Stegostoma tigrinum: one gene and its partners. The protein of the gene in region 1 interacts with the protein of each later gene in a pairwise test. Links are inferred from orthologs where the notes say so. Each region holds a gene or a part of one and is shown in the gene's direction. Other genes may lie near its edges. The genes, in order: cep44, aquaporin FA-CHIP-like, txlna and pop5.

What was found.
Region 2: the proteins of cep44 (region 1) and aquaporin FA-CHIP-like interact in binary tests that used the Homo sapiens proteins (3 or more experiments, as listed by UniProt). The link is inferred for Stegostoma tigrinum from reciprocal best matches to the Homo sapiens genes CEP44 and AQP1.
Region 3: the proteins of cep44 (region 1) and txlna interact in binary tests that used the Homo sapiens proteins (3 or more experiments, as listed by UniProt). The two-hybrid records come from large-scale screens. The link is inferred for Stegostoma tigrinum from reciprocal best matches to the Homo sapiens genes CEP44 and TXLNA.
Region 4: the proteins of cep44 (region 1) and pop5 interact in binary tests that used the Homo sapiens proteins (3 or more experiments, as listed by UniProt). The two-hybrid records come from large-scale screens. The link is inferred for Stegostoma tigrinum from reciprocal best matches to the Homo sapiens genes CEP44 and POP5.

What each region holds. Positions count from the first base shown.
Region 1 is NC_081356.1:123,312,489-123,320,358, reverse strand, and holds the start of cep44 (centrosomal protein of 44 kDa), read left to right. Parts: upstream 1-4,866; 5' UTR 4,867-5,630; intron 5,631-7,870. UniProt on the Homo sapiens protein: Centriole-enriched microtubule-binding protein involved in centriole biogenesis. In collaboration with CEP295 and POC1B, is required for the centriole-to-centrosome conversion by ensuring the formation of bona fide centriole wall.
Region 2 is NC_081355.1:152,719,395-152,727,302, reverse strand, and holds the start of aquaporin FA-CHIP-like, read left to right. Parts: upstream 1-4,896; 5' UTR 4,897-5,006; coding exon 5,007-5,375; intron 5,376-7,908. UniProt on the Homo sapiens protein: Forms a water channel that facilitates the transport of water across cell membranes, playing a crucial role in water homeostasis in various tissues.
Region 3 is NC_081377.1:47,670,307-47,677,968, reverse strand, and holds the start of txlna (alpha-taxilin), read left to right. Parts: upstream 1-4,647; 5' UTR 4,648-4,760; intron 4,761-7,662. UniProt on the Homo sapiens protein: May be involved in intracellular vesicle traffic and potentially in calcium-dependent exocytosis in neuroendocrine cells.
Region 4 is NC_081379.1:39,187,471-39,195,461, forward strand, and holds the start of pop5 (ribonuclease P/MRP protein subunit POP5), read left to right. Parts: upstream 1-4,977; 5' UTR 4,978-5,065; coding exon 5,066-5,085; intron 5,086-7,475; coding exon 7,476-7,618; intron 7,619-7,991. UniProt on the Homo sapiens protein: Component of ribonuclease P, a protein complex that generates mature tRNA molecules by cleaving their 5'-ends. Also a component of the MRP ribonuclease complex, which cleaves pre-rRNA sequences.

The sequences.
Region 1 (7,870 bases):
GTTTGTTTTGTAGGCATCACCTGACAAAACCTCTTGGGTAACCATTGTCGGTGAAAACTTTGTGTGGGTGTTCCTCTTCCATTTTCTGGAGTGTTGGGGTGTTGCAGTGTGATGCAGCTTGTTTAAATAGTGTCTTGATGCAGCTCTGTTTGTGAATGTTAGGGTGGTTGCTATTGAAGTTAAGGATCTGGTTTGTGTATGTGGCCTTCCTGTATAGTTGGGACCAGAATTTGCTGTTTGTCAATGTCTCTACCATTACATCTAAGAACGGGGGCTGTTTGTTGTTTCCTTTCTCTCTTACAAAATTTATGTTTGCAAAGATGTTAACAAGTCGGTGGGCTTCTTCTACTTTTGTGTGTTTGATTATTACAAATGGGCTGTCCATGTATTTTATCCACATTTTCAGTTAGATTTTAGGAAGGACTGTGTGTTCCAATCTCTGCATCACTGCTTCCGCGATGAGACCTGAGATAGGTGATCCAATCGGTGTGCCACTGATCTGTAAAGACCCCATACTGACAGTAAATAAGACCAATGTGATACACAGAAGACCATGCAGCGAGTGCAAAAAACATTATGTTGGACAAACAGGGAAGAAACTGATGACCAGCATAAATGGACACTAGCTAGCAGTAAAAAGATACAACGAATAATGATCTGTCTCAATACAGTGAGGACCATCAGATCAACTAGGACAAAGTGACCATATGGGTACAAGCGAACAGCAGACATGGAAAGGAACTTCTGGAAGTCTGATTCTCAACATGGGACTCCATTAACAAACACATAGAAATAAACCCCAAATACAGACCGCTGCTAAAACAACAGAACTGGCAGTGACAAGATCATCACATCAGAAGATCATATAAATCCAGAAAGAAGCAGAACACCAATGCTTCGATGAGAGGCTGAACTGATGATGTTGCCTATGGTAATGAAATGTCTGTACACCACAGAAAACTGGCTTGGCAATCTAAAAAACTGCAAATTGGGCGCAATATTCCAGAAGAAGCCTCATCAATGTCCTATACAAGCTCAAAGTAACTTCCCAAATCAAAGGACTGAGCGATGAAGGCATGTGTGCCAAAAGCCTTTTAACCACCCTGTCTATATGTGACGCAAACTTCAAAGAATTACGTACCTGAATGCCTAGATCCCTCTGTTCTACAACACTATCCAAGACCCCACCATTAATTGTATAAGCCCTACCTTTATTTTTTGTACCAAAATTCATATACATTACATTTCGCCAGATTGAAATCCATCTGCCATTTTTCATCCCATTGACCTGTTTGATCGAGTTCCCTTTGTAATCTTAGAAAACCTTTTTCAACATCTATTAGGCACGAATTTTGATGTAATCCACAAACTTACTAACCATGCCTTCTATACTCTCATCCAAATAATTACCACCATCATGTTCTGAGAAGCAATAACGGATGGGCAATAAATGGTGGCTTTGCCAGGGACATGCACATCCCGCGAATGAATAATTTTCTGGTTATGTAGTTCTCTGTACGTTTTTTTATTATGAAACCGACTGCCTACTCCCTCTGGGTGCATTTGTGCACTCATTGCGCAATGAGTGAAAATGATTCACCACCAATCCTAAGCAGGCACTAGATATGCAGAACACAAAATAAAAAATGTTGGAAATACTCAGAAGGTCGAGGTACGTCTGTGGAGTGGAAAAGTTTCAAGGCACAGGCCATAAACATTGGATAAAGTCTTGTCTTCTGGAGGTGGTGAGCTTGAAGTTGATGAGATCATTCAATTTGTTTCCACGGTACCAAATACAAACATGACATTCCATGTTCCTTCATTGGGATTAGGTTCAAGGTGGGAATGTCCATGGTAGACTTGTCCATGCCATTGTTAATTGAGGCCCCTAGAGTGGATAATTAGGGGCCAGTTAAGAGTCTCAGTTTGCCCTTACTGAGATTAACCCAGCTGAAATCAGGCCTGCAACATCCATAGATAAGAACTCTGTGTAAAATAAAGTGCCCTGGAGTCCTCACTTCAACTTGTTCTGAATTCTGACCCTGGATCTTGAGACGTGCGAATTGAAATTCTAAATATTTATTTAACCCTCGAATACAAAATTTTCAGGGACTGCATTTTTAACTAAGATTTGCATTCATGTAATGTTTTTGTCAGTGCAGACTCAAGGGGCCAAAGGACCTTTTCTGTCCTGTATGACTCTAATGAGATTGATGTTAAAGATGAGATAACAAGGTGTAGAGCTGGATTGACATAGCAGGCCAAGCAGCATCAGAGGAGCAGGAGAATTTCAGCCTAGACCCTTCTTCAGAAATGGGGGCAGGGAAGGAGGTTCTGAAACAAATAGGGAGAGAGAGAGAGGCGGATAGAAGATGGATAGAGGAGAAGATAGGCGGAGAGGAGACAGACAGGTCAAAGAGGCGGGGATGGAGCCGGTAAAGGTGTTTTTTGAAGTATTAACAGTATTTTGAAAAGGAGTGGGCGACTTACTCCAGCCCAGATTGTCCCCGCCTCCCTAACCTGTTCTTCCTCTCACCTATACCTTCCTCCCACCTCAAGCTGCACTTTCATTTCCTACCTATTAACCTCATCCCGCCTCCTTGACTTGTCCGTCCTTCCCAGACTAACCTATCGCCTCCCTACCTCCCCACCTATACTCTCCTCTCCACTTATCTTCTCCTCTATCCATTTTTGGTCCGCCTCCCCCTCTCTCCCTATTTATTTCAGAACCCTCTCCCCATCCCCCTCAATGATGAAGGGTCTACGCCCGAAACGTCAGCTTTTGTGCTCCTAAGATGCTGCTTGGCCTGTTGTGTTCATCCAGCTTCACACTTTGTTATCTCGGATTCTCCAACATCTGCAGTTCCCATTATCTCTGGGACCTTACTCCTAGTGCCTCAGGCATTTTAATCCAAAATTAACATCACTAAAAAGATCATTTGTCCAAAGGTTCCTTCAGAATACAACAGGGCCTTGATGGGCTGGTGGGCCAAGGTGCTGAATTTTAGAAAGTCAAATCAAGGGAGAACTTATACACTTAATAGGTCCTACGGAGTGTTGCTGAGCAAAGAAACCTTGGAGTGCATATTCATAGATAGTAGGAACTGCAGGCACTGGAGAATCTGAGATAACAAGGTGTAGAGCTGGATGAACACAGCAGGCCAAGCAGCATCAGAGGAGCAGGAAGGCTGATATTTCGGGCCTAGACCCTTCTTCAAAAATGGGCTGGGGAAGGGGGTTCTGAAATAAGTAGGGAGAGAGGGAGGGACGGATAGAGAAGATAGGTGGAGAGGAGACAGACAGGTCAAAGAGGTGAGGATGGAGCCAGTAAAGGTGAGTGTAGGTGGGGAGGTAGGGAGGACATAGGTCAGTCCAGGGAGGATGAACAGGTCAAGGGGTCGGGATGAGGTTAGTAGGTAGGAGTTGGAGGTGGGAGGAGGGGATAGGTGGGAGGAAGGCGGGGACAAGCTGTGCTGGATTTGGGTTGCAGTAGGGGGAGGGGAGACTTTGAAGCTTGTGAAGTCCCTATTGGTACCATTGGGCTGCAGGGTTCCCAAGTGGAATATGAGGTGCTGTTCCTGCAACCTTCGGGTGGCATCGTTGTGGCACTGCAGGAGGCCCAGGATGGACACGTTGTCTGAAGAATGGGAGGGGGAGTTGAAATGGTTCGCGACTGGGAGGTGCAGTTGTTTAGTGTGAATCAAGTGTAGGTGTTCTGCAAAGCGGTCCCCAAGCCTCCAAGGAACACCTACACTCAGTTCGCACGAAACAACTATCCATCTTCTATCTGCCTCTCCCTAATTACTTCAGAACCCCCTTCCTCTTCCCCATTTCTGAAGAAGAGTCTCAGCCCGAAACATCAGCCTTCCTGCTCCTCTAATGCTGCTTGGCCTGCTGTGTTCATCTAGCTCTACAGCTTGCTATCTTAGTGCCTACTCCTAGTTCCTTGAAGGCAGAGTTGCAGGTAGACTGGATAATGAAAAAGGCATTTGGTATGCTTGCCTTTACTGGTCAGTGCATTGAGTATGGGAGTTGGGACGTCATGTTGTGGCTTTATAGGATATTACTTAGGACACTTTGGAATAATGAGTTCAATTCTGGTCTCCCTGCTATAGGAAGGCTGTTGTGAAACTTGGAAGGATCCAGAAAATATTTAGAAGCATGTTGCCAGGGATGGAGGCTTTGAGCTATGGGTTGAGGCTGAATAGGCTGGGACTGTTGTCCCTAGAGCATAGGAGGTTGAGAGGTGACCTCAAAGAAGTTTATGAAGTCATGAGGGGCATAGATAGGGTGAAGAGCTAAGGTATTTTCCACAGCGTTGGGTGGTCCAAAACTAGAGGGCAAAGATTTAAGGTGAGTTGCAAAGGATCTAAAAGGAACCTAATCAGCAATTTTTTCATGTAGAGGATGGTACATGTCTGGACTGAACTGCCAGAGGAAGTGGTGGTGGCTGGTTCAATTGCAACATTTAAAAGGCATCTGGATGGGTACACAAAGGGTTTAGCGACATATGGTCAAATACTGGCAACTGGGACTAGATTAATTCAGGATATCTGCCTGTCATGGATGAGTTGGACCGAAGGGTCTTTCCAATGCTGTATAGCTCTATTCGTGTATTATCATATTGCTGTTTGTAGAACTATTGTGAACAAATTACTTCCACACTCCTGAAATTGCAACAATGACTCCACTCCAAAAATAACGTCATTGGCTGTAAAGCAATCTTGACAAATTCTTGACAGAAGGTGCTATAAAAATGCAAGTTTCGGCGTGAATCGTTCACTCTGCTTTCTTCCCAGATACTGCCAGACCTGAGTTTTTCCCAGCAATTTCTCTTTACGTTTCCAATCTCCAGCATTCGCAGTTTTTTTTTCCATTCGAAAAGGGCAGATGACCGAATATATTGGTCAGGTAAAGTGTTAAGGATCTGCTGAGCTTTATTAACCATTTTCTCAATCCACATTCAGTGATTTGTGTATTAATATGCCAGATTCCTGTCTCCGCATCGCCTTCAGGATTAACTTTTTGACCACGTTTATTTTCCTATGAGATTCCTTGTCGCTGGCTATGTTGGCATTGAATGTTGGCTATAAATGCAACTTGGTGCCATAGTGAGATCCCTATTTTTGAAGACGCAGGGGCAGATTCCATCAATGGAGGGAAAAAAAGGCATCCTCCAATATCGGCAAAGTGTAACAGGTCGTTTTTGTTAATTGCGAGGAGAGGAGGAAGAACCGTGTTTTTTTTTAAGAAAGAACGGCTGTTGCCTCTGTCTAAAACCGAGAGCGAGAGAGAGAGAGAGAGAGAGACAGAGACGTTGTACGCTGGCGAATATGCGGGGCGGAACGGAGAGCTAATGGATCGACTGGCAGACGGAGAAGAAGCCGGAACGGTGAGGAAAGCAGCCAGGAGGCCGTTAGGGGGAAACCTGTCAATCAAATTCAAACCGAGCGCGCGAGGCGCCCGCTGCAGACCCGCGGGGATACAGAGAGAGAGAGAAACCTGTCAATCAAATTCAAACCGACCTACTGCTCCCCTAAGAAGCGCACGTTGGACTGATCTAGCAACCCACGGACCGTTCGATAACAACTTCAAAGTCGAGTCGGGGAAGACGAAAGCCAGGCCGGCAGGTGAGAGAGTTCGGTCAGCTTACCGATAAACCCAGTGCCCGGTTCAGGTTATCCTCAACACTCACCATGGTGCCCTGACTGCCTATAACCATAGCCTCCGTCATACTGACCCTAATCAGTTTAACTTTGCCCCACCCCACTCTAGAGTGAGACCCCAGCTGCCCCCGACTCTTTGATTCCATCTCCCAGGGCTTTAATTCTTCTTCCTGACCCCCCATCTTCAGGGTAGCTCCCTGCCGTCCGACTCTATTTCCCCATTCCCAGGGCAAGGCCCTGTTCTGTAACCCCATTTCCACATCTTTTACATTCTTCATTGTCTCTCTATCAGTCTTGTCCTGTAACACAACTTTGTCTCTTCCTGTATAGAGTCTGCCCTCTGACACAATTCGAACCCTGACTTGTAACCCTGTTTCCCTGGGTCCGAGCCCTGCTCTCTGATCCCATTTCCTCATATCCTCAGATAACAGCCCCGATTTCTAACTGAATTTCCCACGTCCGTTGTCAAATACTGCTATCTAACTCTATTTCCCTATCTCCCCCAGCCCCTCATGCTTTCTGATCATAGCTCCATTATCCAATGCCACTCCGTCAGCTGCCTTAGTCTCTATTGCTCCTGAATCAAAGTCCTGCTCTCCAACCCCATTTTCCCACTCCCATAATCTCTTGAATCAAACCAAATGCTGATTGTTCATTCGAGTTGTCATCAAACATATTGATGCTTTATTGCAAACATGTGCATGAATTTGCAAACTCCGACAAACTATTGCAGAAACCATTTGAGCGAGAATGGGAACAAGTAATCTTCAATACTGAGAGACTGTCTTAAAAAGGGAAGAAAAGTACTGCTTTAATCACTGAAAACAAAAAGTGCTGGAAATCATAGCAGGTCAGGCAGCATCCATGGAGATAAAGGAAACTAATGTTTCGAGTCCATATGACTCTTTGTTGATTACCTCCTGAAAGTCCAAATAAAACACCTCCATTGGCTCCCCTTCATCAATTCAAGAGTCACATTCTCAAAAAATCCCAAATATGTCAAGCATGATTTCCTTTTCGTAAATCAATGTTGTATGATCCTGTCACTGTTTTCAAAGTGTTCATCTATTGTGATTTTTGTGGTGGAATCTAACACTTCGCCATGACCAACGTCAGACTGATTGGCCCATTAATCCTGATTTCCCTTTGTCTTCCTTTTTGAACAGGAGAATTATCTTAGCTACCCTCTAATCTGTACAACCTGTTACATAGTCTATAGAATTTTGGAAGATGACCACCAATGCATTCACTCTTTCCAAGGCCACTTCCATATGTACTCTGGGATATAGAATATCGGATCCTGGGATTTTATCTGCTTTTAATCATCAATTTCTGCAACACCATTTCCCTACTAGTACTAATTTCCTTCACTTTCTCCCTCATTAATCTGTGTTTCCCAGCATTTCTGGTTGATGCTATACTCTGTCTTCCTTTGTGAAAACAGACTGTTTTTAGTTGATCAGCCGTTTCCTTGTCCTCCATTATGAATCCCACTGTTTCTTATTGTAAGTGAGATATGGTTGTCTTCACTTATCTTTTCTCTTCTCTTCAAATAACTATAGAAACGTTTATAGTTAGTTTTTATATTCCCCACAAGCTCATCTCAAACCCTATTTTCCCTTTCTGAATCAATCCCTGTGCCCTCGTTTGCTGAATTCTAAATGCTCCCAAACCTGAGGTCTCTGGCCAATTTTTGTCTTGTCTTTGGATCTAATGCTACCTGTAATTTCCTTTGTAAACCATGATTTGGCCACCTTTCCCATTTTACTTTTGCAACAGATATGAATGAATAACAGTTGCAGTTCACCCATATGGTTTGTTTATATTTGCTGTTGCTTTACCGCCCTCACCCTTTTAAGCAACGTCTTCAATCTAATGTCACAGCAACCTCATGCCTTTTACTATCATAATTTTCTCTATTTAGCTTCTGGACCCGAGAACCAAAATCAACTACATCACTCTCTATTTTGATAAAGAACACAAATTTATTGTGGTCATTCAGCCACATGGGGCCTCGGACAGCTAGATTGCCAATTATTCCTTTTTCATTGGATAATATCAGGATGTTTTCTGTTAGGTCCTTAATATATTGGTCCAGAAAACCATCCTATATACCATCCAGGAATTCCTCCTGTATGATATTGTTACTATTTTGATTTGCGCAATCTTTATGCAGATTAAAGATGACCATAATGAAACATCAA
Region 2 (7,908 bases), on another chromosome or scaffold:
TCCCTGTAAAACCTTCCTATTCATGTACCCATCCAGATGCCTTTTAAATGTTGTAACTGTACCGGCCTCCACCACTTCCTCTGGCAGCTCATTCCATACACACACCACCCTCTGTGTGAAAAAGGTTACATCTTAGGTCCCTTTTAAATCTTTCCCCTCTCACCTTAAACCTATACCCTCTAGTTTTGAACTCCCCTGCCCCTGGGGATAAGACCTTGTCTATTTGCCTTAGTCTCTAGAAATATATTTAATTCTTTAATGTATGGAGTGTGGTAGAGAATTCCTCAGGTTCACCAGCACCTGAGCGGGGACATTTCTCATCATCTCAGTCAGAAATAGCAGATTTCGACCCATGAAGAATTTTTGTTTCTGAATTACCTGCACTGAGACAAGTAGTCAGTTCCCAAATTATTAATTACATTTGTTAATTACTTGAATTTAATTTCCACCAGCTGCCATGTCCGGATTTGAATCTGTCCTCAGATATCACGCTAGGCTACCAACACTGTGTGTTGCTTGCAGTAGTGGTCCCGGAGATTAATCTATGACGGGAACAAAAACGAAGTTGCTGGAAAAGCTCAGCAGGTCTGGCAGCATCTGTGGAGGAGAAAACAGAGTTAACGTTTCGGGTCCAGTGACCCTTCCTCAGAACTTGGCAACTCAGAACAGAGGAAGAGTCACCTACTCTCTGATGAGGGGTCTCGGCCCGAAACGTCAGCTTTTGTGCTCCTGAGATGCTGCTTGGCCTGCTGTGTTCATCCAGTTTCACACTTTGTTATCTTGAAACATTAACTCTGTTTTCTCCTTCACAGATGCTGCCAGACCTGCTGAGCTTTTCCAGCAACTTTGTTTTTGTTCCTGATTTACAGCATCCGCAGTTCTTTTGGTTTTTATTAATCTATGACTGTTGTAGACTCCAAGATAATACTGGACTTGAATTGAGTCTGTAATGAATGACTTACACAGAGAGGCAGTCTCACTACTTTAATACCAGTTTGAGATCCTCCAACATCTTCCCAACACCTACCTTGTCAAGCCCTCTTAGAATTTTGTATGTTTTCTTCCTCATTCTTCCAAATGCTAATGACTCAAAGCCTAACTGTTAAGCTGTTCTTGATAAGTCAACCCCTTCATCTCAGGAAACAGTCTTGTGAATCTCTCTCAGGCAGCTTTCAATGCTGGTTTATCCTTTCCTAAATACAGGGTCCAAACTGTACACAGTGCCACGTCTCACTAATACGATCTCCAGTTGTAACAGGACTTCTCTCAATTTAAACTCTAACCGTCTGGCAATAAAGGACAAAATTCCATTTACCTTCTTCATGACCTGCTATACTTCCGTGTTTAACCTGTTGTGATACATTCACAAGAACACCCAGATCCCACTGCGCTGCAGCTTTCTTGAGTCTCCCTCCACTGAAAAAATCATCTGTCTTTTGAATATCTGCATCATGACCTCACACAGAAATAGGGTTGCTTGCCTTGGAGAAGACTGAATGGGGAGATGGTTGTGACATATAAAACTATAAGGTACATAAACAGGAAGAAATGTTACCTCTTGACTGAGGGATCAGTGATCGGGGGGCATCAACCCACCAAGGATGGTGAGAATCTGGAACTCAGTGCCTATTGTGGAAGCAGAAATCCTCATAACATTGAGGATTTATTTAGGTGTGCACTTTCAATACCAAGGCTTGCAGGGCTACGGGCCAAATGCTGGAAAATGGGATTGGAATGGTTAGGTGGTTGTTTCAGCCCAGACTAGATTATCCAATGGGCCCTCTTTAACTGCTGAGCTTTTCCGGCAATTTCTGTTTGTGTATTGCACAGCCTATCCTTCTTCTAAGTCACTAATATAGATCATAAATAAAGAGCATAAAACTCTCTCTAACCTGAGAAAGACCCACTAATCCTGACTCTGTCTTTTATGACAAGGTGTGGAGCGGGATGAACACAGCAGGCCAAACAGCATCTTAGGGGCACAACATCTGACGTTTCGGGCCTAGACCCTTTATAAGAAAACCTTTTTCTGGTGAAGGGTCTAGGCCCGAAACGTCAGCTTTTGTGCTCCTGGGATGCTGCTTGGCCTGCTGTGTTCATCCAGCTCCACACTTTATTATCTTGGAATTCTCCAGCATCTGCAGTTCCCATTATCTCTGTCTTTTATGTTTTAACCTATCCCAAATCCATGCTGATATGTTACCCCTAATGCCACAAGCTCCTATCTTGTGCAGCGACCTTTATGTGGCACTTTATCAAATGCTTTTTAGAAAGACAATCTACTAGCTTCCCTTCATTAGCTCTGCTTGTTTTATCCTCAAGGAACTAAAACAATCTTGTCAAACATGATTTCCCTTTCACAGAATCATGTCAATCATGTCTGATCACATTAAGCTCTTCTAAATGTCATGCTATTTCTTCCTGAATAATGGACTTGGCATTTTCTCAGTGACACCTAATTAGCCCATAATTTCCTACTTTCTGTCTCGCTCCCTTCTTGAACGGGTGGGTCACATGACCAGTGATCTAACAGCTGGAAATCCCCGTTTCCCCCCCCCACCCAAGAATGCGGAGTGTTCGGGAATATTGTGACCAATGCCTTCACTACCTCTGCAGTCCCTTCTTTTAAAACCCTTGGATGAAGGCTGTCAGGACCTGGGCACCTGTCTAATCAGTTTGTTATATTTCTGTTCATAGTGATAGACATGGTTTCAAAATCTTTCCACCCATTCGCACTTTGCTTATGAGTTGTTTATATTGGCCTCTACTGTGAAGACCAATGCAAAATGTTCGTTTATCTGCTGTTTTTCTGTTCCCCATTATTAATTTATATAATCCATGGGTCTTACGCCTACTTTAGCTACTCCCTTTCTTTTTGTACACCCTTAGAGGCTATTTTTATATTTCTTAAAAATTTATTTTGTAATCAACTTCCCCCTTCTTACCTTCTTTAGGAACTAGCAGAGGTTGACTCAAAAAAATTAATTGCCTGTCCTATCACAAATTTTCACTGCGTTGTATGCTTTAGATTTCGATTGGGCACTATTTTTGAATTTTTTTTAACGATGGGTGTTTCAATCTTCTCATCAGAGTCCTCTTTTTCACTGGAAAAAATATTTGCTGAGCATTGTACAAATATCTCATCTTCTCAACCACTGACCATTTCTTTGTCTATTTTTGCAGCATGCTTTAGATAATTCTGTAATTGCCTGCTTTTGAGATGAGGATACTGGGTTGAGACCAGACTTGCTCTCCATCAAACTGAATTATGAAATTCTCCCAGGCTTTGATCACTATGCCCTATAGAATCCTTAACCACAGGTCTCGTACTTATCCTACCACATTACTAGATCTGACAGAGCCTGTTCCCAGGGTAGCTTCTTCAACATTCTGCTCCAAGCAAAAAATCAATGTTGCATTTCAGATATGTGAATATGATAGCAACGTTTAAGAGGCATTTAGACAGACACAAGCATGGAATAGGGGGATGGGGTCACATGTAGACAGGTGGGATTAGTCTATCCATGCCAATCCATGTCTGTGCACAGCCAGATCCCATAGAAGTGCTGCAGATTGAACTGCTGCTTCTGTTGCTTGAAAGGTAAACACTGGGCCGGGAGAGCATGAAGATTGGGATGGGGTAGATAGTGCAAAAGAACAGTGCGTTGAGTATAGGAATTGGGAGGGCACGTAGCAGCTGTACAGGACAATGGTTAAGCCTCTTTTGGAATACTGTGTTCAGTTGTGGTCTCCCTGCTTTGTGAAGGATGTTGTTAAACTTGAAAGGGTTCAGAAAAGATTTACATGGATGTTGTCAAATTGGAGAGTTTGAGTTGTAGGGAGAAGCCAAATGGGGCTGGAGCTATTCTCCCTGGAGCATTGTAGGCTTAGGGGTGGTGTCATAAAGGTTCATAAAATCATGAGAGGTAAATAGCCAGTGTCTTTTCCCCAGGGTGGGGGGAGTCCAAAACTAGAGGGGCATAAGTTTAAGGTGAGAGGGGAAATACTTAAAAGGGACCTCAGGGGTAACTTTTTCACACAGAGGGTGGTGTGTGTATGGAACGAGTTGCCCGAGGAAGTGGTGGAGGCTGGTACAGTGACAACATTTAAAAGGCATCTGGATGGGTACGTGGGTGGCACGGTGGCTCAGTGGTTAGCACTGCTGCCTCACAGTGCCAGGGACCTCGATTCACTTCCACCCTCGGGTGACTGTCTGTGTGGAGTTCACACGTTTTCCCCGTGTCCGCGTGGGTTTCCTCCCATTGTCCAAAGATGTACAGGTTAGGGTGGACTGGCCATGCTAAGGTGCCTGCAATGGTCAGAGATGTGCAGAGTTGGTGGGTTGGCCATGGGGAATGGGCCGTTACAGGGAAATGGGTTTGGGTGGGATGCTCTTTGGAGGAATGATGAGAACTCGAAGGGCTGAATGGCCTGCTTCCACAGTGTAGGGGTCCTATGTTTCAATCAATAGGAAGGGTTTAGAGGGATATGCAGGCAAATGGGACTAGATGAATTTTGGTTATCTGGTCCGGACGGACGAGTTGGACCGAAGGGTCTGTTTCTGTGCTTGAGTGACTCCAGAGCACCAGTGGAGTCCGAACAGCAAGAAGTGTCACTGAACTAAAACGAAAAACTCTGCTCCTCTCTCTCCACGGATGCTGCCAGGCTTGCTGAGTTTCTCCAGCAATCTCCTTGGGTCTGTTTCAGAATTGCTAGCAATGCCGGAGACGGCGCAGTCCCTCTTGCTGGGAACAGCCTCGCCAGCGTGCAATGTTCGAGAGCAGCACTTAGAAACGCCTTTTCGTCGCCACCCCCAGGAGACCTCCTCTATAAAACTGCCTCGCCTGATCCACTTCCAAACTAAACTTTGCTTTGCATCTGCGCGCACGGTTTTGGGGGTGAGGGGTGGGAAATAAGGGTGGATTTAAAAAGGAGGGTGGTTGGGTGGGGGCTTGGTGGCAGAAGAGTTTGAGCCCTTTCCTGGGTGATTTTGGGGCACATTGAGGATGGTCAGGGAGTTACAGCGCCGCTCCTTTTGGAAGGCAGTGCTGGCCGAATTCCTGGGAATGACCATCTTTGTTTTCCTGAGCACTGGCTCGGCCACCAAGTGGACCCCCAGAGGATACCCAGCCGACATCGTGCAGATCTCCCTGACCTTCGGCTTGACCATTGCCACCATGGCGCAGAGCATCGGGCACTTGAGCGGGGGGCACCTGAACCCAGCGGTGACCCTGGGGCTGTTAGCCGGCTGCCAGGTCAGTTTGCTGCGGGCTATCCTCTACATCGCCTCGCAGCTCCTGGGCTCGGTAGCCGCCAGCGCTCTGCTTCTGGGGCTCACCCCCTCATCCAGGAACAGCACCCTCGGACTCAACGCTGTAAGTACCTTACCCTTCTTAAAGCGGTAAATAGCACCCTGGGAGCTGGTGGGGACCACAGAAAGAGAGAGAGAGAGAGAGACAGGGGCTGGGCTGGAGAGTCTCTCGTTGTCGTAATGTTGCTCTCTTAACTTACTTAATTGGATGCAGTGTATTTTCTTTATTCACTTAGCTGGGCTACTATTCACTGCCTGTCCCTAGTTGCCTTTGAGAATCACACAATCCTTATAGGGCAGAAAGAGACTGTTCACCCCATCAAGTCCACACCGTTCCTCCAAAGAGCATCTCATTCAGACTCTACCCTATCCCTATAACGTCTAAGCCACTCATCATTTGGCTTGCTAAGATAACCACCATTCACAGAATCCCCGCAGTCTGGGAGCAGGCCATTTGGCCTATCGAGTCCACACTGACCCACCCCTGTAATACTGCATTTCCCATGGCTAATCCACCCAGTCTACACATCCCTGAACACTATGGACCATTTAGCGTGGCCAATCCATCCTGACCTGCACGTCTTTGGTCTGTGAGAGGAAACCCATGCAGACACAGAGAGAAAGTGCAAACTCCACACAGACAGTCGCCCGAGGGTGGAACTGAACCCGGGTCCCTGACGCTGTGAGACAGCAGTGCTAACTGCTGAGCCATCGTGCCACCCTAAGAAGGGCATGCTGAGCTGCCTTTCTGAACTGCTGCAATCCTGAGGGAGGGAGTTTCATTCTGGAGATGACGGGCTGGACTCATAAAAAGCAATTGGGCAGATTTGAAACTTGGAGAGTCAATATCGAAGGTGGTGGTGGGGGGTGTGTGGGGTGTCATTTTGAGGTGAAGGGAATGGGATTTGAGGAATAGCTGTGGTGGGGATGTGGGACGCACTGTGTTGGAGAGGAGATGAGGCAGGAGACTTCACAACCTTTACAAACTTCTTGGATGAGCGCTTAAAATGTTTTAACTTTTAAGGCTAGGGGCCGAGGACGAGAAAGCAGGATTAGTGTAGTCTGGTTTGTGCAGACTCACTGGGGTCAGGGGCATCTTGTGTACTGCATGACTATGAGTTTAGGCTGATATTCCGTGGAATTTAGCAGAAATGAGAGGAAATCTAACTGAGGTAAGTAAGATGCCAAAGGGGATTGAAAAATGTCAATGTAGAGAGGATGTTCTCTCATTTGGGGCAATCTGGAACAAGAGCTCAAGATTTTAGGATAAAAGCTAGCAAATTCAAAACAGAAACACAGACAAATTACTTCTCTCAGAGATTTGATTGATTTATTTATTGTCACAAAATACAGTGAAAAGTTTTGTTTACGAGCGATACAGGCAGTTCATAGTAAACAAAGGATGTACAGATCAAAAAGGTGTAGGCTCACAGATTACATTGCATAAGGGCGTGCCCTAGGCGAGATCAATGTTAGCAAGATCAAGCTTTATTTGAGACTAAAGGGTCATGAATCTGTGGAATTCACTCCCCCAGGGTGTGGTGGATGTTGTGGGGTTGAGTACATTGGAGGAAGACAAAGACATATTCCTAACCAATAATGGGTTGAAGGGTTAAGGAGAGCGGGCAGGAAAGTAGAGGTGACGTTGAGATGAGATCAGCCATGATTCTGTGAAATGGTGGAGCAGGGTCGAGGGGCTGAATGGCCTACTCCTGCTCCGGGTTCTTACGTCCTGAACAAAATCCTCTCGGCTCACAGCTTTAAAATGGGGAACTTAAAATATCTTGAACTTGTGGGCCCCACCATGAATCATGGAATTGTTAACAGTGCAGAAGGAGGCCATTCGGCCCGCTGTGCTGACACTCGCTCTTCAGAAAAGCTCCATTACCTTGAGCCAATCTACCGCCTTTTCCTCGCACACCATTTCCCTTCAAATAATCGTCTTGCCCCCAGGGTTGCTTCAGTTGAATTTCTGTTAAGATTGCATCAAGAAGGAGGGAGAGAGGAAGAGGTTGGGGGGGAGGGGGGAAGAGATGGGATGTGGTGGCGAGGGGGGGGGGGGGGGTGGTGGTGAACTGATGACCGACAGTGCCAGATAATACCGTTATTCTATCAACACGCGGATTTAGCCATGGGTTTTAAAGTTGGACATTGCCCTTTTAAGAAAAGAAACGTGATTCTATCGAACGGTACCTGTAGCCGAAGAAAGTGGAGAATTTGTTCGATATTTGCAACAATGGTTTTTGCGGACTTTGCATCAAAGTAACTCCATTGCATAAACATTTATTAAAGAAAGGGGAACTACTGAGAATCTGACGTGTGGTCGGTACAGTGCTGTTTGGAACCACCTCCTCTGAAGCATCGCTTGTCAAACGGAGCAGCCGGGCCAGTGCTTTGAAAGATATCTTCCACAAAATAAAACCCTTGCCGGTTTTGCCAGTTGACCCTGCAACTTCATTCCCCCAGATACTTGTAACCTCAGCCTGTCAATCTCAGGAACCCCACCCCGTCCCTGTATGAGGTGGAAGTTTAAGGCAGGATTCACCATGTTACGCTGTTACATAAATACCATTTAACATTCAGATGTAGATGCTAAT
Region 3 (7,662 bases), on another chromosome or scaffold:
TTATGTTTGTGTGTGTGATTGTGTGTGTATGTATGTGATAGTGTGTGTATGATTCATGAATCTGTCTAGATACATCTTAAATGACGCTATCATGCCCGCCTCTACCACCTCCGCTGGCAACACGTTCCTGGCACCCACCACCCTCTGTGTAAAGAACTTTCCACGCATGTCTCCCTTCAGGTTTTCCCCTCTCACCTTGAAATCGTGACCCCAGTAATTGAATCCCCCACTCTGGGGAAAAAGCTTCTTGCTATCCACCCTGTCTATACCCCTCATGTTTTTGTAGACCTCAATCAGGGCCCCCTCAACCTCTGTCTTTCTAATGTGAATAGTCCTAATCTACTCAATCTCTCTTCATAGCTAGTGACCTCCATACCAGGCAACATCCTGGTGAACCTCCCTTCTGCACCTTCTCCAAAGCATCCACATCCTTTTGGTAATGTGGCGACCAGAACTGTATGCAGTATTCTAAATATGGTTGAATCAAAGTCCTATACAACTGTATAGAACTGTGTATGTGTGTATGTGATTGTCTGTGCGTGTGCGTGTGTGTGTGTATATATCTATGTAATTATCTGTGTGCGTGTGTATGTTTATGTGATTGTGTGTTTGTGTGCGTGTATGTGATTGTCTGTGTGATTGTGTGTATGTATGTGGTTGTGTGTGTATGTGATTGAGTGTGTGTGTGTGAGAGAGATTGTGTATAGAACATAGAACATTGTGTTTGTGTGTGTGATTGTGTGTGTGTGTATGTGATTATGTGTGTATGTGATTGTGTGTAACTGCATGTGCGTGTGATTGTGTGTGTATGTGATTTTCTGCATGTGCGTGTTTGTGTATGTAATTGTGTGTGTGTATGTGATTGTCTGTGTGGGTATGTGATTGTGTGTGGGTATGTGATTTTGTGTGTGAGATTGGGTGTGTAATTGTGTATATGTGTGTATGTGATCTTCTGTGCATGTATGTGATTGTGCATGTGTGTGTTTATGTGATTGTCTGTGTGAGTATGTGATTGTGTGTATGTGATTTTTTTTGTGTGTGTGTGTGTGTGTGTGTGTGTGTGTGTGTGTATATATAGAGTATAGTGTGTTGGGGTCACTTGTAGTGTGAAATGTACCCAAGATCCCGGTTGAGGCTGTCCTCGTGGACACTGAACATAGCTATCAGCCTCTGATTTGCACTTGCACATTTATAATTGTAGATACATTTTTTTTGCTCAAAAAGCACAGAAATTGCAGACAATCCGTATTGTATTTTATAAATTCCTGCTTTAGAAATAACATCATCTGACTCCAAATTGATACACAGCCAGGTTCTAAACAAGGCCTCACACTTAAAATATTAGGTTATTTTCTCTCTCCATGGATGCTACCCAACCAGTTGTGATCTCCAACATTTTTGCTCAGCATGGATTTCAGCAACTGCAATAATTTGTTCCTACATTGCGTTTATTAATGTCTGCGTTGAATACAAGCTGAAGGAGGTGTATACAATGTTGGTTTAGCTACAGCTTGATTACTGTCAGCTTTTGTGCTCCTAAGATGCTGCTTGTCCTGCTGTGTTCATTTAGCTCCACAGTTTTGTTGTCTTGGATTCTCCAGCATCTGCAGTTCCCATTATCTCAGACACAAGGGGATGTTTTCTTTAGAGCACAGAAAGCTGGAGAGGGAACCTGACTGAGGCGAACACGCAGCTTACAGGCAGGGAACAAAATGTCCCTTCACCCTGAAGGCAAAGTATTATGTTGGAGCCCCACCCCCTTCGCGCCCCGCCCCCTCTGTCGCTCCACCCCTTCTCCCGTCCGGCTTTTGCCCAGCCCCCCCCACCCATTCACTGGATCCTTCCCCTTTAGCCGCAACCTCGAGTCCTAGCCGCACCTTCCCAGCTTCTGACTGAAAAAAACTGTAATTGTTTGAAGTCGGAAACAATAACAGAAACTGTTAGTGAACCTTATCTATGGACAGAGATACAGAGTTAACATTTCTGATCCAGTGACCTTTCAGAATGTAACAAGGTGTGGACATGGATGAACACAGCAGGCCAAGCAGCATCTCAGGAGCACAAAAGCTGACGTTTCGGGCCTAGACCCTTCATCAGAGAGGGGGATGGGGTGAGGGAACTGGAATAAATAGGGAGAGAGGGGGAGGCGGACCGAAGATGGAGAGTAAAGAAGATAGGTGGAGAGAGGTTTGGTGAGGAGGTAGGGAGGGGATAGGTCAGTCCAGGGAAGACGGACAGGTCAAGGAGGTGGGATGAGGTTAGTAGGTAGATGGGGGTGCGGCTTGGGGTGGGAGGAAGGGATGGGTGAGAGGAAGAACCGGTTCGGGAGGCAGAGACAGGTTGGACTGGTTTTGGGATGCAGTGGGTGGGGGGGGAAGAGCTGGGCTGGTTGTGTGGTGCAGTGGGGGGAGGGGACGAACTGGGCTGGTTTAGGGATGCAGTAGGGGAAGGGGAGATTTTGAAACTGGTGAAGTCCACATTGATACCATATGGCTGCAGGGTTCCCAGGCGGAATATGAGTTGCTGTTCCTACAACCTTCGGGTGGCATCATTGTGGCAGTGCAGGAGGCCCATGATGGACATGTCATCAAGAGAATGGGAGGGGGAGTGGAAATGGTTTGCGACTGGGAGGTGCAGTTGTTTGTTGCGAACTGAGCAGAAGTGTTCTGCAAAGCGGTCCCCAAGCCTCCGCTTCGTTTCCCCAATGTAGAGGAAGCCGCACCGGGTACAGTGGATGCAGTATACCACATTGGCAGATGTGCAGGTGAACCTCTGCTTAATGTGGAATGTCATCTTGGGGCCTGGGATAGGGGTGAGGGAGGAGGTGTGGGGACAAGTGTAGCATTTCCTGCGGTTGCAGGGGAAGGTGCCGGGTGTGGTGGGGTTGGAGGGCAGTGTGGAGCGAACAAGGGAGTCACGGAGAGAGTGGTCTCTCCGGAAAGCAGACAGGGGTGGGGATGGAAAAATGTCTTGGGTGGTGGGGTCGGATTGTAAATGGCGGAAGTGTCAGAGGATGATGCGTTGTATCCGGAGGTTGGTAGGGTAGTGTGTGAGAACAAGGGGGATCCTCTTAGGGCGGTTGTGGCGGGGGCGGGGTGTGAGGGATGTGTTGCGGGAAATACGGGAGACGCGGTCAAGGGCGTTCTCGATCACTGTGGGGGGAAAGTTGCGGTCCTTAAAGAACTTGGACATCTGGGATGTGCGGGAGTGGAATGTCTTATCGTGGGAGCAGATGCGGCGGAGGCGGAGGAATTGGGCAGAGGGGATGGAATTTTTGCAGGAGGGTGGGTGGGAGGAGGTGTATTCTAGGTAGCTGTGGGAGTCGGTGGGCTTGAAAACCACCCTACCAACCTCCGGATACAACGCATCATCCTCCGACACTTCCGCCATTTACAATCCGACCCCACCACCCAAGACATTTTTCCATCCCCACCCCTGTCTGCTTTCCGGAGAGACCACTCTCTCCGTGACTCCTTTGTTCGCTCCACACTGCCCTCCAACCCCATCACACCCGGCACCTTCCCCTGCAACCGCAGGAAATGCTACACTTGTCCCCACACCTCCTCCCTCACCCCCATCCCAGGACCCAAGATGACATTCCACATTAAGCAGAGGTTCACCTGCACATCTGCCAATGTGGTATACTGCATCCACTGTACCCGGTGCGGCTTCCTCTATATTGGGGAAACCAAGCGGAGGCTTGGAGACCGCTTTGCAGAACACCTCCGCTCAGTTCGCAACAAACAACTGCACCTCCCAGTCGCAAACCATTTCCACTCCCCCTCCCATTCTCTTGATGACATGTCCATCATGGGCCTCCTGCAGTGCCACAATGATGCCACCCGAAGGTTGCAGGACCAGCAACTCATATTCCGCTTGTGAACCCTGCAGCCGAATGGTATCAATATGGACTTCACCAGTTTCAAAATCTCCCCTTCCCCAACTGCATCCCTAAACCAGCCCAGTTCGTCCCCTTCCCCCACTGCACCACACAACCAGCCCAGCTCTTCCCCCCCACCCACTGCATCCCAAAACCAGTCCAACCTGTCTCTGCCTCCCTAACCTGTTCTTCCTCTCACCCATCCCTTCCTCCCACCCCAAGCCGCACCCCCAGCTACCTACTAACCTCATCCCACCTCCTTGACCTGTCCGTCTTCCCTGGACTGACCTATCCCCTCCCTACCTCCCCACCTATACTCTCCTCCCCACCTATCTTCTTTACTCTCCATCTTCGGTCCGCCTCCCCCTCTCTCCCTATTTATTCCAGTTCCCTCTCCCCATCCCCCTCTCTGATGAAGGGTCTAGGCCCGAAACGTCAGCTTTTGTGCTCCTGAGATGCTGCTTGGCCTGCTGTGTTCATCCAGCCTCACATTTTATTATCTTGGAATTCTCCATCATCTCTGACACTACACCTGGTTATCTCAGATTCTCCAGCAGCGGCAGTTCCTACTGTCTGTGCTACACCTTTCAGAATATTTTTGTTTCTGGTCAAAGTGCATTTTGGGAACAATCGATTCCCTCAAAACTAGGTACCTGCCAATCTACATTACCCGAAGGTCTGCGCGACAACTTCCACGCATAGCCGGAAGCACTCTTCTGAAAGCCGATTGGTTATTCGCCTGGCGGTCACTGGTGATGCTGTTAGGAAGACGCCGGCGCACTTCCGGTTAGTGCGGGTGCGAATCCGGACGGACTGAGTGGTCGCGTCGCTGGAACCTGAGGAAAGTCGCGGATCCGTGGTGTACCTTGTGTGTGGGAGGGTGAGTGTGCGGTGGACTTCCTCCCCCGTCTCTGATTTACCTCACGGAGGCCCAAAGCTGTTAACCGAGACCGTGGTTAACGCCGGGGTTTACTTGGAGTTTTGAGCCGGGCCCAGGCCGTATCTGATGCGCACTTTAGCGCTGATCCCGAGCTAACGCCGAGTTTTGCCCCGGGATCGACAACGTGCGGCGCGGTTGAGGCTGATTTTCCTGTTTGTTGCGCATCCGCGCCGTCACAATGTGGAAATATGTGCCTCCCGGGCTGTCCTGAAAACTCCTGTTTGGTTCATATCCACTGAAAAGGGATTTGTGTTTGTACGGAACAATCTGACCCTGAAACTCGCGTCGGTAAATGCTGCTGAGTTTTCAGGTTAAACTCTTGGTTTTTCGGTAGATAATTCTTTCTCTATAAATCAGCCTTGATGTCTGTAACAATTTGGCATATATGATTAATATGTTGATTTTCAGCAAACGGGTTGTAACTGACACCTTTGGGACATTTCGATTAATCGAGTTCATTCCACCCACAAAATATGGGATTTACCGACCATTATCTCTCCCCGTGCAGTCGTCTTGGGCACGATTTTGGATGAATACTCCTAGCTAATAACAAGACTAAGATATAGGAGCAGAATGCGCATTCGGCCCATCACATCTGCTCCACCATTCAATCATTCCTGTATTTTCCGCGTAACTCTTGAACTCAGCTGTCTCTGTCTTAACACCACCCATTCGGCTGGTGTCAATAAATTCCACAGATTCATCATTGTCCAGCTGAAAAAAATTCCTCATCTCAGTTCCAAAGGGTCATCCCTTAAATCTGAGCCTGCCCTCAGATCCTAGATTCTCCTACTAGTGGAAATGCCTTTTTCAAGTCAACTCTATCCAGGTTTATCAGTATTCCGTAAGTTTCAATCAGGTCTCTTCCCTCCACGACCCCCCCCCCCCAAACCTCCATGTATCACATGGCCTTATTTTCTCTCCTATATCCTGACTACTGCTAGGAGGCCTGTAGGTAACTCCCATCAGTCATTTATCCTTTGCAGTTCTGCAGCTCTACCTGGATTCTACTTTGCGATTCTTTTATATGACTTTTTGCTATCAATTTAATTTCATTTCTTACTACCAAGGCAACCTCACCCCTTCTGGCAATCTGTTTGTCCTTTCAATAGGATACATATCTTTGGGTATTTGGTTCTCAGCCCTGATCTCCTTGCAGATGTGTCTCGGGTACCTGCCAGTTTCAATCTGCACCACCGGCTCATTGACTTTGTTTTGTGCACTGTGTGTGTTTAAATATAAAACCTTTAGTCCTATGTTGACTGGCTCCCATCCTTATCTGCTGTGCCTGAAGTTAGATTATTGACCCTTTCTGTACTCTGTCCTTTTAAAGTTTTCAGAACAATTAATAACCTTGGCTGACAAATTCCACCACCCCCCCCCCCACTTTAACTTATTCCTGCATTTTTTAGTTTAGTTCTATCCACAGCCCTAGTTGGGTGATTCACCAGGACTTTGGTCCTAGCATGGTTCAGGTGGAGCCCATCCTAACAGAACAGCTTCCTCCTTCCCCAGCACTGGTGCCACGGTCCCATGAATTTGCACCCATTTCTCCTGGGCTAATCTTTGAGGTTCGTGTTTCCTCTTGAATTTTGTTGACCCTATGTCAATTGGTTTATGGGTCAGGTAGTAATCCAGAGATTATTATCGTTTTGGTTCTGCTAATCAATTTATCCCTTTATCTGTTTATATTCCCTCAGCAGAACTTCTGTCCTCTTTCTTCCTATATAATTGATACCTACATGGCCCATGACAACTGGATTCCTCTTCCTCCACGCCCCCCCACACACAAACACGCGCACACACACAAACACACGCGCACACACACAAACACACACGCGCACACACACAAACACACACGCGCACACACACAAACACACACGCGCACACACACAAACACACACGCGCACACGCACAAACACACACGCGCACACGCACAAACACACGCGCACACGCACACGCACAAGCGCACACGCACACGCACAAGCGCACGCGCACACGCACAAGCGCACGCGCACACGCACAAGCGCACGCGCACAAACACACGCGCACGCGCGCGCGCACACACGCGCCTGGGCACCAGGCAGATTACACAACCTCTTGAACTCTAGATCGGACCACAGAACTGTCTGTTCCCCTGATTATAATGACATTTCTCTCTTCTGCTCCATCCTGAATGGCACCTTGTTCCTCCTTGCCATGGTAGTTTGCTCCAGCTTCCCATTGCTCTGCTGTCATCCACATCGGGAGCAGGAATCTCGGACAAAAATAGAAATTGCTGGAAAAACTCAGCAGGCCTGGCAAAATCTGCAAAAAGAAAACAAAGTAAAATATTTCAGGTGCAGTGACTCTTCAGAACAAGAAATAGAAAACATATCTGCAGTCTCCTTGCAGTTATCCTTCTTACTAAGTTTTTTGTCATCTGAAAATTTGGTGATATTACATTTAGTTCCCTTAGCTAAATCCTTTTTATTCATTATTGGGATGTGAATGTCACTGGCTGGCCAGCATTTAATGTCTATCCCTAGTTGTCTTTGAGAAGGTGGTAGTGAGCTGCCTTCTTGAATTACTGCAGTTCATATGGGTCAACCGACAGCATAATGCCATCAGGGAGGAAATTCCAGGATTTTGACCCAACGACAGATAAGGAGCTGTGATATATATCCAAGTCAGGATGTTGAGGACTTGGTGGGGAGCTTTCAGGTGGTGGTGTTACCGTGTATCTGCTGCTCTTATCCTTGTAGATGGAAGTGGTTGTGGGCTTAGAAGGTGCTTCTAGGGTCTTTTGAGAGTTTCTGCAGTGCATTTTGTGATGGTAGACACTGCTGCTATTCAGCGTTGG
Region 4 (7,991 bases), on another chromosome or scaffold:
CCAACATTTATGTTTAAAACAGGACAGATACAGCCAAGATTACAGCCCATATAAATTCAGCTCTGATGAAGGGTCTAGGCCCGAAACGTCAGCTTTTGTGCTCCTGAGATGCTGCTTGGCCTGCTGTGTTCATCCAGCCTCACATTTTATTATCTTGGAATCTCCAGCATCTGCAGTTCCCATTATCTCTAAATTCAGTGACTGTTTGGATACAGTGAGAGACAGAAAGAGACAGAGAGATCATATAACATGACACCTAATGAAGGGTCAAGGAAGGATTAAACGGATGGACTTCAAAGGGAGAAATACATTACAAACTGGACTGGAATCCCCTGTAAATATCTAAGCTTGTGAATCTGATGATATAAAGAAGACAGTGGTCAGGGAGACCTCCCCCCTCACCCCCATTCCAGGCCCTAAGAAGACTTTCCACATCAAGCAGATGTTCACCTGCACATCTGATAATGTGGTATACTGCATCCGCTGTTCTCGTTGTGGCCTCCTCTACATCGGGAAAACCAAACGGAGGCTTGGGGATCGCTTTGCAGAACACCTACACTTGGTTTGCACTAAACAGCTGCACCTCCCAGTCGCGAACCATTTCAACTCCTCCTCCCATTCCTTAGACGACATGTCCATCATGGTCCTCCTTCAGTGCCACAACGATGCCACCCGAAGGTTGCAGGAACAGCAACTCATATTCCACTTGGGAACCCTGCAGCCCAATGGTATCAATGTGGACTTCACAAGCTTCAAAATCTTCCCTTCCCCCACTGCATGCCAAAACCAGCCCAGCTCGTCCCCGCCTCCCTAACCTGTCCTTCCTCCCACCTATCCCCTCCTCCCACCTCAAGCCCCACCCCCATCTCCTACCTACTAACCTTATCCCGCCCCCTTGACCTGTCCGTCCTCCCCAGACCGACCTATCCCCTCCCTACCTCCCCACCTCCTCTCACCTTTACTAGTTCCAACCCCACCTCTTTGACCTGTCTGTCTCCTCTCCACCTATCTTCTCCTCTACCCATCTTCTATCTGCCACCCCTTCTTTCCCTATTTATTCCAGAACCCTCTTACCCTCCCCCATTTCTGAAGAAGGGTCTAGGCCCGAAACGTCAGCTTTTCTGCTTCTAAGATGCTGCTTGGCCTGCTGTGTTCATCCAGCTCTACACCTTGTTATCTAAATAACTTGTTAATGTTTTTTAACTCTTATTTCATGCTCTTTGATAATTTAATAGTTCATATCTGCCTTCTGAATTTCCTACCACAACCCATTTCTGATTTATCTTGCACCACTCTGCTGTCTATATGTTTAACCCATTTTCCCTAATCAACCTGTTGAGAGATGTTTATACACACCTCTGGAGCAAGTGGGACTTGAACCCAGGTCTCTCGGTTCAGGAGTCAGGGCACTATCTCTACACCCAAGAGGGCCCTGTCTCCATCACTAAGGGATGCCTTTTTCAATATTTTCATCCGTTCTCTTACATTGTCATTTATCCAGAGTCACAGTCATGTTTAGTTTGTCCTTGGTTTCAGTAAAATATATTTTCTCAGTTCAACTCTGTTGAACACTTTTGTTAATGTTTCCTAGTGTTGTTCTGCATCATTTGCCAACATAATTGTCCTTTTTATTTTACCAAGTTCCATTCTCAGCCCCTCAAAATCAGCTTTTCTCTCTTCTACTAATCTGGCTTTCACTATACCTATCTCTTCTTCTATCATTATATTAAGGTCACTATTGCCCAGATATTCCCGTGCTTTCAGTGAATTCTTCAAAGAATTTCCAAATATTAACAGCATATTGAAGATTTGATAAAAGCACCTTGGAAACTCTTTTAGATAACAAGGTGTGGAGCTGGATGAGCACAGCAAGCCAGGCAGCATCAGAGGAGCAGGAAAGCTGACGTATCAGGTCTGAACCATTTCCCAGACTGGACCCTCCTGGAAACTCTCTTGACACACTTCAAGCGACCTCTTCAAACGCTCAATAGTAAGTGAATATAAATGGCTCTAAATAGCATTTGAAATTCTTTGCAACTGGTTTACTCCTACTCAGTGGCTTGCTATTAAGAAACAGAGTTAGTTCACTTGCTATTAATAACTTAAATACATGACTCTCTTGTTCTTGCTGATGATATAATGTTAACTGGGAATGCAAGCCGTAAGTAGGCCATGAAATGGGGTGAAACTTGTATATGTTGAAGTTCAGAGAAACTTGGGTGTACTCATTCAAGGAACATGCAGTTAGAATTCTGGTACAGCCATCAATTAGGGAAAGAAATGATGTGTTGACCTTTATAACAATGGTAAAGTGTTTGAAGTTTAAGAGTAAAGGTGTCATTTTACAGTGGTACAGAGCTTCGGTAATATTGTACTATTTTAGTTTCCAAAGGAAGGAATCACTTGATTAGAGGCAACGCTGCGAAGGTTTACTAAATCGGTCCGTGGGACGAGTCTGAGTAAATAATGCTTACAATTCCTGGGATTTAAAAGAATGCAAGGTGATCTCATTGAAATATTCAGGATGATGAAGGGGTCTCATAGGATATATACTGAGATGTTAATTTTTTTTAACAAATTTGTTTAATCTATTTTTCCCAATCAACCTGCTCAGACATGTTATTGTACACTTCTGGAGCAGGTTGGACTGGAACTTGGGCCTCTTGGAAAGGACGCTAACACTTTGCCACAAGAGGACCCCACTGAAACATTGTTTCTCCTATCTGGGAAATCTAGAACAGGAGGGCATAGTTTCAGGTTAAGGGGCTAACATTAGAACTGAAATGAGGAGACAATTCTTCACTCAAAGGGTGAACCTTTGGGATTCTCAACTTCAGAGAAATGTGGTACATCATCATTTCTATATTTAAGGTTGAGGTAGAGAAATATATTGGTGCTTCAGTGAACTGTGGGAAATGGGGAGTGGACAAAGGTGGAGTTTGAAACTTAAGATTAGCCACATTCACATTGACTGAGAGGTCAGTTTGCTGCCTGATTGACTCTTACTCCTTTATTTCACATTCTTACTGTTAAAATGTCATGCAGCCTCACTAACAAACACAATTGGCAGTTTAAGAGCAGTTGTTAATCATCTGGGCATCCAATCATCTCTCACACAGACACACACACACACACACACACACACACACACAAACTTCCAATTTCTTTACCAACACTGTATCTCACATTAAACTGCTGTTTGCAGCTCAAGATTTCATCTTTGCTGCCTTAGAGATTTATTTCATACCCAAAATATTTGTGTATTCACTCCCAGATCATCCGCAGAAATGGTCCATCACTGGAAACAGACAGAAGAGCTTTGACTCATCTTTACTGCATTGGTGGGCAAGCAACACAATTGTTTTCTTCTTATACAATCAGTTCCAATGCCATTTCAGCAGTACCTCATCATAATCTATTAAGCACAAAAAGATCCTGCCAGAATTTTCAGCACACTTTTTTTTAAAAAATGGAATTGTGCTTTGATGACACCTTGTAGTACAATTATGTTTTAACTGTTCAGTATTCTATCAGAGATGAAGACTGAATTTATTGTGCAGAGTCAGTTTCAATCCTGCAGGAGAAATAAGACATCAAGCAAATAAATAGAGATAACAAGGTGCAGAACTGGATCAGGCCAAGCAGCATCAGAGGAGCAGGAGAGCTGATGTTTCAGGCCGAGACGCTTCTTCAGAAATGGGGGGAGGGGCAGGATTCTGAAATAAATAGGGAGGTGGGGGGGAAGGCAGATAGAAGATGGATAAAAGAGAAGAAAGATGGTGATGACAGGTCAAAGAGGTGGGGATGGAGCCAGTAGAGGTGAGAGTCGGTGGGGAGGAGATAGTCAGTTCAGGGAGGACAGACAGGTCAAGGGGACAGGATGAGGTTAGTAGGTAGGAGATGGGGATGGGGCTTGAGGTGTGAGGAGGAGATAGGTGGGAGGAAGGACAGGTTAGGAAGGCAAGGACGAGCTGGGCTGGTTTTGGGATGCGGTAGGGTGAAAGAGGAGATTTTGAAGCTTGTGAAGTCCACATTGATACCAATGGGCTGCAGGGTTCCCAAGTGGAATATAAGGTGCTGTTTCCGCAACCTTCAGGTGGCATCGTTGTGGCACTGCACGAGGCCCATGATGGGCATGTCATCTAAAGAATGGGAGGGGGAGTGGAAATGGTTTGCGACTGGGAGGTGCAGTTGTTTAGTGCAAACCAAGCATAGGTGTTCTTGCAGGAACAGCACCTCATATTCCGCTTGGAAACCCTGCAGCCCAATGGTATCAATGTGGATTTCACGAGCTTTAAAATCTCTCCTTCCCCCTACCCCATATCTGAAGATGGGTCCAGGCCCAAAACATCAGCTTTCCTGCTCCTCCGATGCTACTTGGCCTGCTGTGTTCATCCAGCTCTACACCTTTTTTTATCTCAGGTTCTCCAGCATCTGCAGTTCCTACTATCTCTGAAATAAATAAATACCTACGTTTATAGACACCTCGACATCGTGGTGTTCAACCACGTCATAGGTCTAATACCATATTGCTAAGCTACTCTGCTTTGTCAGAAAGAAGACAGCAACCCATGTACCAGACAAGCAGTGGCGTAGTACAAAGCTGTTCACTGTTAAATGTGGAACAGAAGTCGCTGCTCAGCAGTTGTACACACGAAAAAATGTTATGGATCCCTTCCTGCACATTGAATGCAATGGTTTGGGCAGGTTGATTAAAAAATATCTACTCTAAGATACTAACAGAAGGTCTCTTGTGAGACAGTATTTGTCTGCCTATCTCCAGTCCAAGCAGTGCATGTCCCAACTACCCCCAAAAAAAACACACGTGCCCCAACACCAGCTACATTCAATGCTGCTTAATACTGGAGCAGCAGGCATTGACCCCGCCCATACCCGGAAGTTCCGTGGGAGCCCCGCCTCTACTTTGCGTCTATTGGTGAAATCATGCCGACGGCAACCTTTTCTCTGTGATGATTGGCTGATTGCTTTGTCAATCAGCGAGATGTTACATTTCCGTTGTATCGAGTAGGGCCGCCGTGCTGTGTCTGGGGAGGAAGCTGTGAGAATGGTTCGCTTCAAATCCAGGTAATTTGGATCCGCTCCACTTTTAAACTGGGAGGGATGCTCTTACGGGAAACATGGACAGTTCAACTGTGACTAGCTATCCACCTACTTTTTTTAATTACGAGGTGTAACAGCCCTACAATAGACAAAATAGGTGACAAAAAGACCTTTAATGTGTTCAGAGATAATGGGAACTGCAGATGCTGGAGAATCTACGATAACAAAGTGTGGGGCTGGATGAACACAGCAGGCCAAGTAGCATCTCGGGAGCTCAAAAGCTGACGTTTTGGGCCTAGACCCGTCAGTGTCTTTTTTTTCGAGACAGTTCGTTTTGTTCGCTGCACTTTCTCTCCGCCCCTTCCCCAGCTCCCGACCGGTGGTGGGTGTTTTCAGGAACCTAAGTTTCTGTTGTGCCAGATGAGAGCCTCACTGGTGAGGGTTGAATTTTGGGTCCGATGCCACAAACTGACAAGATGCATGGACACGTTGAACTCTCTTGATGAGTCAAAGTCTATGGGGCGAGGGGAAGAACAGAAAATGTCAACGGGTCAAGTAGCAGGTCGATATTTCGGGTCCGTGGCTCCCCATCAGAGCCAGCCTCCCAGGTTTAATATCATCTGTTCTCTGACCCCTGTATCTCAAAAGCCTGAGCCCAACAACTTTAGATTTCAAGAACACTTTTATAATACATTAGTCGAGGCCCCATGAATGTCTAATTAACGCTTTGTTTTCTTAATTTATGTTGACGTGCTTTGAATTGCTTATTATTTCTGAAAATTTGTAGTGTTTAAAGAAAGTCTGTGGAAACACTAGAGATGCTCCTGTGAATCGGCGAATGCTTTCACGTATCCAAGAGCTTGCTGAATATATCAAGATCCGAATGTCTACCAGAAAAGCCTTGTCTTTTCTGGTGCATTACGTCCAATTCTGGTCGCTCTGTTATAGAAAGTGTATTCTCGAGCTGGAGAGGGTTCAAAAAAAAATAATTACCAGAATGTTGCTGGGAAAAGAAGCGTTGAGTTATAGGGAGACTTCTGATAGGCTGGAATTCTTTCACCTGGAGTGTAGGATGTTTAGGGGTGACTTCCTACAGTTTTAAAATGATCAGGGGCATAGATAAGGTGTGTCTTTTTGCTAGGGTGCTGGTATATTTTTAAGGTGAGAGGAAAGAGATTTTTAAAAAGATATGGGGGGGGACAACTTTTTTAACAGCAGTTAATGTGTGGGTGAACTTCTAGAAGTGGTGGATTTGGATACAGTTGCAATGTTTGAGATTTTAGATAAGTACATGAATAAGAAATGTTTGGAGGGATATGGGCCACACATAGGCATCTTAGGTTGGGACTGTGGTTTGGTATGGACAAGTGGGACTAAATGGCCCGTTTCTGTGCTCTTTGTGTGAACAGTTCTTGGGGCCACGTTGTAAAATCTAAACTCTGTTTAGGATAAGAGTTAGATTTGTGACTGACAGATATGTGAGAATGATAGGTAGCCCCTAAAGGTTAAATTATGAGTAACAATTACACATGACCATAAGGTGTGGGAGCAGGCTGTTCACCCCATTCTCTGTTCTGCTTTAAAGTAACTGCCAGGATTTCCTCTCGAGCTTGTTGCTCAAGTGCCTCCTTCAGGCTAGAGAAGATAATGCTGTGAAAGGTTGTTTCTGCAAGTGAGTGATATGTGCGCATTTGGATATTTCTGCTTTTGATTTAAAGTTCTTAAGGACTGAAAGGATTACTTCCAACCCAATCACAAGGTCCAGGCCAAAGCTGAGGTGGCTTTGTTTCCTTCTGACATGTTTTTCTTTGCCACAACGTGGCCTTCAGTAACCTGGCTTTGGAGATGAAGTGAATGTCATGCTAATTAGTGTCTGTGGATCTGGCTTAATCAGTTGTAAGGAGAGAGCCTGGTACACACTTACTTGCTAGGCAAGAGGCTCATTGGTCTACACACACAAGCTGACTTAAAGAATGGATGTTTTTTTAAAAATAACTGATTATTCAGTGTGGGGAATGATCACAGCTCAGAATGCCTAGATCTAATGACCTAGATAGTTCTTTAAACATCTGCCTTTCAAAATTAGTCAATGGATCACTTGATGATAAGTCACTTTAAATCGCACCACAAATTGATTTAATCAGTAAATGATTCTTCAGAAAATTGGACTATCTGGCATGCATCATTATTGCCTGTGCTTATACAGCTGATTATTCTGAAAAAGCAACTTTTAGAGGAACTTAGCTTTGTGTCAGCAGTGTCCCTCCAACAAAGTAAATGTCTGGTTAATCTTCATGGTCAAGGAAGGGCACTGGATTTGACGGTAGTCATGAGCTGTCAGCCAATATGATGTAAAGTTGCGTGAAATAAAACACGATCAAATGCCCAAGTAAATGGGATTGCTCTATTCACAGGTACCTGCTATGCGAGATAGTGTTCGAGAATCCCCAGTTTCGGCATTGTATCGAGGAGAAGAATATCTATAAAACAGTTAAAGATGCAATCATTCGAGCACATGGTGACTTTGGACTTGGTTGTTGCTCATTATCCCTGGCAGGTTTGTAATGGAAGGTCCACAATAATAAAACAAAATTGAAGGGATTTAAATACCAGATTTCAGTGAAAAAGTACATCTCATTGTTTGTTTGAAAAAGTGCAAAACAAAAAGATTCAATTATGTGCACATCTGCAAGTGGACAACCAGCATCTACTTGTGGAAATGAGAAATTGTGCAATTTCTAACTCGCTCCTTATGGGAATCTTCAATGGAAGAAACGAGTGAGTTACAAATTGTGCAACTTCCAACTCACTCTGGCGTCTTCTACTGAAGTTGCCCACATCCCATGAATGAATAAAGTTGAGCTGGGCTAGACTGGTATTCTTGCCAGCAGTCCTTGAATGAGGGAAGAGGAGGAGAATTTCAAGTAAAA